Linked DNA regions of Caenorhabditis elegans. The protein of the gene in region 1 interacts with the protein of each later gene in a pairwise test. Each region holds a gene or a part of one and is shown on either strand. Other genes may lie near its edges.

Evidence for each region.
Region 2: the proteins of ret-1 (region 1) and wdfy-2 interact in a two-hybrid assay, tested with the Caenorhabditis elegans proteins (2 studies listed by BioGRID).

Annotation. Positions count from the first base shown.
Region 1 is NC_003283.11:14,844,293-14,849,316, reverse strand, and holds the start of ret-1 (Reticulon-like protein), read left to right. Parts: upstream 1-2,004; coding exon 2,005-2,101; intron 2,102-2,720; coding exon 2,721-5,024.
Region 2 is NC_003280.10:9,318,351-9,322,419, reverse strand, and holds wdfy-2 (WD repeat and FYVE domain-containing protein 2), read right to left. Parts: upstream 2,556-4,069; 5' UTR 2,543-2,555; coding exon 2,479-2,542; intron 2,408-2,478; coding exon 2,206-2,407; intron 2,151-2,205; coding exon 1,804-2,150; intron 1,633-1,803; coding exon 1,515-1,632; intron 1,395-1,514; coding exon 1,035-1,394; intron 989-1,034; coding exon 832-988; 3' UTR 542-831; downstream 1-541. Other genes in the region: Ras-related protein rab-39, read left to right, coding at 46-159, 209-352; csa-1 (WD_REPEATS_REGION domain-containing protein), read left to right, coding at 2,948-2,991, 3,272-3,418, 3,463-3,549, 3,594-3,827, 4,056-4,069. UniProt on the Caenorhabditis elegans protein: Plays a role in coelomocyte endocytosis.

The DNA of each region.
Region 1 (5,024 bases):
ATTAATAAATTATTTAGAAACGTTTTTTTTTGTTTTGAGACATTTCTTGTGCAATTTGTGTTCAATTTTTGAGCACTATAAAAAATAATTTTCCATATTTACGGTGCAATTCTAACAATGCTGAGTTCCCAATTTTTCCTGACGTTCTCCAACTTTTCTGACATGCCGTCAACTCTTTCATGAATTCCAAATATGAATGTTCCGTTTTGTTACTTCAAACTAAGTTTATACTGACAACTTCCTTTTTTTGGAAATGATTCATTTAGACTTGATATAATTAATTACCTGCCATTAGGTTTCTATCTTCTTTTCTATTGGCAGAATTATCTATCTTCTCTCGATCTTTTTTTTTATTTTGTTTTTTGTTTCATTTTCATTTTTTTTTCTCAAAATTTCATTTCACAACTTTCTCAAGTTACTCGATCAACTTCTTTCTTCTTTTCCAAAACTTTTTTCTGACAAAAAACTCTGAAACCCAACCCTCTCCCCCAATCCACGTCATCAAAACTCTCTGACCTACCTGTCAATGTGATTTACGATTAACAACAGATGCCCCTCTTACATCTGAACAGCCGACACAGCACGTGCTTTAAATGTTCTAGCTGTCTGCGTATCTAATATAAACTGGCATTTTTGTATGTTATAGATTGACAATTGACTGTAACTGGGGGAATGGAAACAGTTGGAAGTTTTCAAAATAGAGGTTATGGAAATAAAAACAATTTTGTTTGTTTGCTTACGTCACTCACCACACTCTTTCCATGAACATATGAGTTGATATCAATTGATAACATGGAAAAACGAGACAAATTGCATATTGCTATATTTATTTTCGCTTTTTCAGATGTCAGACTTTCTAAATTTTCAATATTGTTACTACTAGTACTGCTTCTTTTTTTGTGAGCTTATATCTTGGCTCATTTTTTTAAAAAGAGAAACGTCAGTAGGAGAATTGTTCAAAATATCTTCTATAGTGCAATTACCACTAAAAATTGCAAGATTTATTTACAATCAAGATGTGCCAATTTTAAATTTTCGCGGCTCATAAATTTGAAAGTCATTTTTTAAATCAACCAGAAAATGGTTTTTTATAACGGGTTTCAACATAAACGATTGTTTTGGATTATGTGAATTTGAAAAAAAATTTAATAAATTTGTAATGTTAAAAATATATTGTTGTTTTGGCAGTTTCAGAATTTTAATTGAATTTAAATTTGAATGTCAGAAAAAATTCAAAAATAAGTCAGTTATTGGAACTTTTTTTCAAAAAATATTTCCTTTGCCAATAAGCACTATAAAATCAGCAGTGAATTCGAAAAAAATTAAGTGGCTGTTAAATAAGTCAATATGCGTTTGAACAAATGACGTAGAAATTTGAGATCGACTTTTTCTTATTCACATTCGTGCTTCTCTGCGTGTTTTCCAAAACACGGTCGCTCTGTTTTGATTTCAACATAATATTTAAACAGGTGAACAGACCGCCATGCAAGATTTATCGGTCAATAAAAGGAAGCTGAAAAAACTAATTTCGAAACCTTCGAGAACAGAAAAAAAAACTGTTTCTCTTTCATGGGCAGGCATTTCATGAGATTTTTAAGTGCTTTCCTTTAAATAATTTTGAAGCCACCATGATTTTGAGCTTATCACTGACACCCCCATCTTTCCCCTATTGTCATTTGAAACGTATGACTTGGATCTCTGTTTGAGCTGAAAAAGAGATGAATGAGATGAAAGAGAAGAAGACAGAGGGCAACAACAAAAAGAAAAACAAAATAGCACAAAAGAGCGAGATGATCGAAAACCCCGAGAGAAAGCAAAAATGCTCATCACCTGCGGTGAGACGGCAGCTGTCCCCGCAGAAATATCATGTACCTGTGCGGAGACGCAGGGTATACAATCACATGGTGAACTCCTCGGGGTCCCTTCATCTCGTGTCAGCACATTTTTGTGAGCTCCAAAAAATTTTGTCACGAAAAACACCACTTCATGGATGCTGAAAACGAAATGAACGCTGAAAATGTCGATGTGGAACTTTTCTTTCGAAAACCACCGGAGATCACAAATTTTGAGTTGGTTAAGACAATTTGGATTGACCCGAAAGGTGAGTGTTTTTTCATATTTTTTTTAAATTTAGTTTGTAAAAATGCAGTTTGAAAAAAAAAAATTGAAAAAGCTTGATTTCTAATAGATTGTATCTCTTGCTAGTTTTTTTTGTGAATTTTGAAAATTTTGAAGTTCATAAGAAAAAGCATTATATAACTTTTTTAACTTAAAATTTCTGAAAAAAAACTTTAATAAATGTTCCACGTATCCAAGTAGGCACATATCCGATATCTACCTCTGAAATTTTTGTTTTTGATTTTTTCAGTTTATTTCTAGACATCCCGCAAAAATGATTCAAAAAATAGTTTTTAGGCATTAAAAAAGATAAAAAAAAATTTAAAAAGATAAAAAGGTAAAAAAGTCGACAAAATTATGTGGAAATTGTTTGGATTCCGATATATTTCGGAAAAAAATCTGAAAATCAAATTCGAAAACCCATATTAAAATATCGGAAAAGAGCTTTTGGAGCATTTATAGGTCTCAAAAATAAAGCAAAAAAACACTGAAATAATTAAAAATCAAAATTTAAAAGGTCGAGATTAATGCTTTGTCAAGGTCTTTCACTTAGAAAAAATAATATTCTTAAATTTCCTTGGAAAATCTTTTTGTCATTTCAGAGGAGACAAATTCCACAAACGAGCCAACATCTGAGCATGAGCCAAAATCCCTCCAGCCACTTGCTCTTCAACCCCTTCAAACTCCTGAGTCAGAGTCCGGTGGGTCCTCTTGTTCTCATTCGGAAGTTGAACAACTTCCTGACGATATTCTCAATGAACCTCTTGATGATGAAGTTTTTGAAGAAGAAGAAGAAAATGTGCAAACTGATTTACTGTTCCGTCAGCCAAAGAATTCAGAAATGGAATTAGCTTACACCATTTCAAAAAGTGCCGAAATCAACCTGGATGAATTGGAATTTGAGGATGAGGAAGTCGAAGTGGATCTTTTGTTCCGTGAGCCAACTGATCGTCGATTTGAATTGGTTTATACAATTCCAATGATGGAAGATGTGAGTATTGATTCTCAGGAAACCATTACTTTTGAGGACATTCCACCATCTGAAGAACTAGATAACGTTGTGGAAGAAGTTACAGATGTTGCTGAACTTACTGAATTTACATTTAAACCAGTTGAAAAAGATGAACAGACTGAAACTGAGTCATTCACTACAGTCCTAGAAGCGAATGCTGGAGAAGGTGCAAGAGACTTTATCGAAAGAGTTAAGTTGACTTCCAATGACACTTTGGATGATTTGGATGATGATCCTGAGGAAGAAACTTTCCAAAATTCGTTTGTAAAATCTGTGGACTCTAAGACGCCAACTCCAACAGGAGACAATTATGAAATTGAGGATTCCTCTGTATCTGATGTTCTCAAAGATGCAGCCGAAAAATTGCAAATAATTCGAAATTATTCTGCGGACTTGGAATCCGAAAAAGATACAATTAATACGGATGTTCAGCATGTCTTCATTGGTCTTGAGGATGAAGGTGGTGTTATACCAATAATCCAAGAAACACAAGAATATGTTGCAGAAATTGGACCTACTCAAGATAATCAAGAGTATGATTCTACTTCTAAAAGTGATTTGGAACCTCAAAGCTCTGCTGATGGGGTTGTGGAAACTTCGACTTTCGAAGCCCCAGCAGTCTTCGGATTGGAAGATTCTGAAGATATTATAAATAAGCATGCACTGGAAACAGCATCAAATCAAGAATTCTCGAAAATTAAAGAGCCTGAAGTGACTGAAGTTTCTGAAAATACCGCAGAAAATTTGAACGAAGAAGTTGGAGAATCTAAGAATCCGGAAGCAATCGATCTTGTAGAATCTGGAGAGAACGCAGGCATCGAGCAAAATGCAGGAGCTGAACAATCTCAAAAAGAAGCGGTTGAGGAAACTTCAAGTTTTAAAGCCCCAGCAGTCATTGGGTTGGAAGAATCTCGAGATATTTTGAAAGATCCTTTACTTGAAACTGCACCAGATCAAGAAAACTTCAATAATAAAGAATCTGAAATGACTGAAATTGCTGAAATTACAACCCCAATTAGACTTGAATCGTCTGGAGACAACTTCATTGGTACCGATCCAGAAAAGGGCACAGAACAAATTAAAGGTTCTGAGAGCTCCGAATTAGTAACCCAAGAAGTCATTGGGTTGGAAGAATCTGGAGATATTTTGAAAGAACCAGCATTGGAAACTGTAACAAACCAAGAACTTTCTGAAAATAAAGTTTCTGAAGTGACCGAAATTGCTGAAAATATAACCCCAATCGGACTTGAATGTTCGGGAGACAATTTTATTGGTACGGATCCAGAACAGCAGCCAGAGCCCATCAAAGGGATTGAAAGTTCAGAATTGGATGTCATTGGGTTGGAGGATTCTGGAGATGAAGTGAAACAATCACAGTTGAAATCTTCAGAAGATCAAGAATTTTCTGAACTTAAAGAACACGATGCATCTGGAAATGTTGATGAAACTGGTGAGAGCGCAGATATCAAACAGGATGATGTAACGGAAATTGTTCAAAGAGAAACGATTGGGCTTGAGGATTCTGGTCTTGCAGAGATTGTCGCTGCTCATGAGAAAAATTTGACATCTTCTGATATTGACAGTTCTGTGATTCCGGAAGATGCGGAAAATGCATCTCCAGAGGCGATTGGCCTTGAATCTTCTGGAGACAACTTTATCGGTACGGATCTAGAACATGAAGAAGGTCAGATTGACAATTGTGAGAGTTATGTATTGGAAACAGCAGCTGTCATCGGTTTGGAGGATTCTGGAGAGAACTTGAAAGATTCTGTACAGGAAGATCCACCGGAGAAAGAATTCTCTGAAAATAAAGAATCTGAAGTTACTGGGGATGTTGAAAATACAACTGCAATCGGACTTGAATCTTCAGGAGAACACTTCATCGGTCTGGAAC
Region 2 (4,069 bases), on another chromosome or scaffold:
TTTTGAACAAAAGTTGTGTTTAAAAAATTGGTTAAAAGCTTTCAGGTAAACTATGAGGAAGGCGAGTACTTTGCCAAGTACCATAAAATGAAGTTTATCGAGACGTCGTCGAGAACAGGAGACAATGTTAATGAAGCTTTTCATATGATTGCACAAGAGGTTTTTTTGAAAATGTTTCAATTTTATGATGTAATTTTCAAATTTTTAGATTCAAAATCGAGTCGACGACGGAGAACTGCGGCCCGTGGATGGCTGGGAAGGCCTTAAAACTGGTATTATGAGGTCACAATCCGTGTGCCTATCCGAAAGAAGTTTCCCTCAAAACAGCAGCGCAGGAGCTTGCGGATGTTGATAATTTCTCCTCAATTTTTTAATTTTCCCCGTAGTCATAATTTCGCGTAGCGTTCTTATAAACATCAAAAACTCAGCTATTTTGTGTACTTCCTGTGAGCTTTCTCCTTCATCCAGTGTCACCAACCTCACCTACTCTCCCGGCATGCATTCTTTTGAAATAATTTCTAGTCGTTCTGTCCAAAAACTTCAAAAAAAAAGATTTTTTTTCAAACTTTGTTGTAAAAATACAATTTTACAGTCGAAAAACTAGGAAATTATCGGGATTAGAAGAAAAGTAAGAATCACAATCACTATTCAGGACAACCTGTCAGGGGTATCGGGAAATATTGGTAAGTTTTAGAAGGTCTTGATTTGACAACAATTGGTCTTGGGGAAGGATGGGCATTTTGAGAGTGAATATACAAAATAGAAAGGAGAGGAAATAAATTAGATGAAATACAAAGAATTATGAGAAATTCGAGAAGTAGAAGCAATTGTTTATTGTGATCCAGAAGGGGCAGAGCAAACACTTCGAACATCCCAAATCATAATCACACGATTCTGTCCACTGGTAACTAGAAGTCCGAGAGTTTCCTGGAGATGCATAGCAGTGATTCCAGTATGGATTTCATGTGGAATTGCAAGTGGAGTAAGGCTAAAATTGAAAATAAGTTTCATCAGTCATTTGCTTTACAACTTACTTGAAATTCTGTGGATTATCTTTCATTCGTGCATTGCAGTCATTACAAATGCGAATTTTCGTCTCATATCCCATTGGTGGATAGGTGGTCCAGTTGTCACAGCAAGATCCACAGACTGCTGATCCACAGGTTCTGCAGTGATGTTGTCTCAATCCGACCACTTTCCTCTGCCACATTGCTTGAAGATTCCAGAAGAACGGTTGATTGCATTTCTGACAGCAATCCGAAGTTTTCCATTCAGGAGTCTCAACTCTCTTGCAATTCATGTCCCAGCACATGAGCTTTCCGTGTTCGTCAGCCGAGAACAGACGTTTGGCTGCTGGAGCTGCGCATAGTGTTGTCACTTTTCCATTGTGTCCGCTGAAAAAAACATTTTTTAATTTGGAAAAATCTATTTCAACTAAATATAATTCAACTTTTGCGCTCGAAAAACATCAACACTTTCGAAATATCACGTAAATTCCAGAAATATACACTCACTTAAGCTCATAAGCTTCTCCTCTTCCTCCTCCGATATCCCACATTATGATGAGATGATCACTGCTTCCAGAATACAAAACTTTCTTATTTCCGTCCCATGTGAGCGAGGTGATTGCATCTGAAAAATCATTGAACTAATTCAAACCACAATTACTAATTGTATTGATTGTGGGGAATTTCAGGAAATACTGGAATGTTATACTTAACAAATATTTTTCCTAGGCACGATAGCATTTAAAATTTCGAATTAATATTTTACTCAAAAAAAAAGAATACGATAAAAACTCACTCGTATGTGCACTAAGCTTGCTGACAAGATTTGGTTGATTATCGACAATACGAAGAACAGTGACATGCCCACCATGATCTCCAACGAATACAAATGGAAGATCAATGACCATTGCTGTACAACTATTTTCCAAAAGATAACTTCCCATCTTATTTGAATTTTCTGAACAATGCCAGACGATAGATTTATCTCGAGAACAGCTGAAAATGAGCTCGGAGGAGAGTGCAAAGCCGAGTCCAGAGATTGGTCCAGCGTGACATGTCCATTTTCGGGATTCTGTCATACTGTTAAAGTCATCGGCAACACTGAATTCATAGACATTTCCATTGATAAGTCCGACGAGCAGCCTGAATAAAAAAATTAAAAATTTAAAAAATAAAACGATTTAAACTTTAAACTAACTTATAAGTTTCTTCACTGTAATAAAGACTTGTTGGAGCAACTGGCATGAAATGATGAATTGACGGCCAAAATTGATCATTATCTCTTTTTAAGTACAGGCGAACGGATCTATCATCACTTGCAGTCCAGACTCCTTCGTCTTTTGATAGTAAAATGACGTCATTGATACGAGCCACGTGGCCAGTGATTCTGTGAAGAAGAGCTGAAAATTAAAATAAATTCGAAAATTACACAGGTTATGGAAATCAAATGGTTCGTTTTCAATTCACCAACCTGGTTTGGCTCCTCCCATACTTGATTCGCCCTGTTCGACGCGTTGATTGATTATTGCAGCCATAATGGCTGAAAATCTGAAAGAAAATCAAATTGAATGCCAATAAATGACACATAAAGTTTAGAGGACGGAATGCAGATGTTTAAAGCAAAAATCGATAAAACCACGTGTTCTCGCCCGTTTGTTTACACTTCTGCACCTTTTTTACTTTTGTTACTATTTCTGAACTAAATATTTCCTTGTGGAAATTGAAATTTTTATCAAACTAATTTTGCAACCGGTCTGGAAACAGATGAATCAGTGCCCGGTAAATAACGGAAAACCGGTGCGGCCGAGAATGAACTTGTTTGGTGGACTCTAGGCCATTGGCTGTTTTAAGGAGGATATTCAAATTAACAGCAACGTTTGAGCTTTTTATTTAATCGTAATATATTTATTCGCATGTTTCTATAATTTCTCAACAGGAAAATGACTGTTCGTCACGAGGAGTACATGTTCAGCTGTGATTTGAAGTGAGTTTTGCGGTTTTTATGTGAATTTCGTAATAATTTTGAAAAAAAAGTGCAAATGCATAATTAAAATTTAAAACAAACGAGAAAAATAGAGAAATTTAATGTTAAAATGCGCAAATAAAGAAAATAAATGACAGTACCGCAATTTTTTCAAGGCGCAAGAGTCAGAAAACCAGACGGGTCCCGCAACGACTTTAAACTTTTATGAATTTACAGGCCTAGATTTTCTTACTGTACTAATTTTTTTTAAAATTTGAGTTATATTTGAAATTTTTTGCAGAAAACGCCGAGTTTTCGAAGAACAACAAGTTTCACGGGCTCTTTTGAATTTTCGATGGACAAAACATATTCCTATGGGTTGTGATCAGACGGGGAAAGGCCATCAAGAAGATATTAGTGCGATTGATATAGATGATGGTGACCAAATGTTGGTTTAATTAGGAGTTTGTTTAAAAAAAATTGATTTTTCAGGCTACTATTTGGATCTCATAGTGGTTCAGTGTCAGTTGCCAAATATAAATACTTGGATCGTAAAAAGTGGAAGAAACCTATGACTCTGTATGTAACAACCGCAATAATTCTAAAATTTATCAAGATTTCAGAAAACTTGCGAAGCAATCTCTGAAAACAATAAAATGGTGTCCAATCGATCTTCGCCTTTTCATGGTTACAACAGCATCAAATTGGATGCGAGTTTGTGATAGTACCATGGAAAAAGTGGTTCATGGGAAACAATTTGAAGGAGATGTTTATTTTGATTGGAATGAGTATAATATGACAAATTCAAAAGTTGCCGTGGCAGATGGAGGGAGATCAATGAAAATTATAGATTTTAGGTAAGCTTTAAAAGTTCCACGAAATGCCTGCCTACGTGCCTGAAGGCTAGTGGATCTTGTATTGAACAAGAGCTATATTTTGTTATGACTGCCTAACTTTCTAAAACTTTGGTCTTACAATTTCCCCTGGTCGAACCTCTTGTCTTAAATTTTTATGAATTATTTCAAAATTTAAAATTTAATTAAAATTAATTAACATTTTATATTTCAAAATAAATATCATTTCAGAGTCGGAATGGATC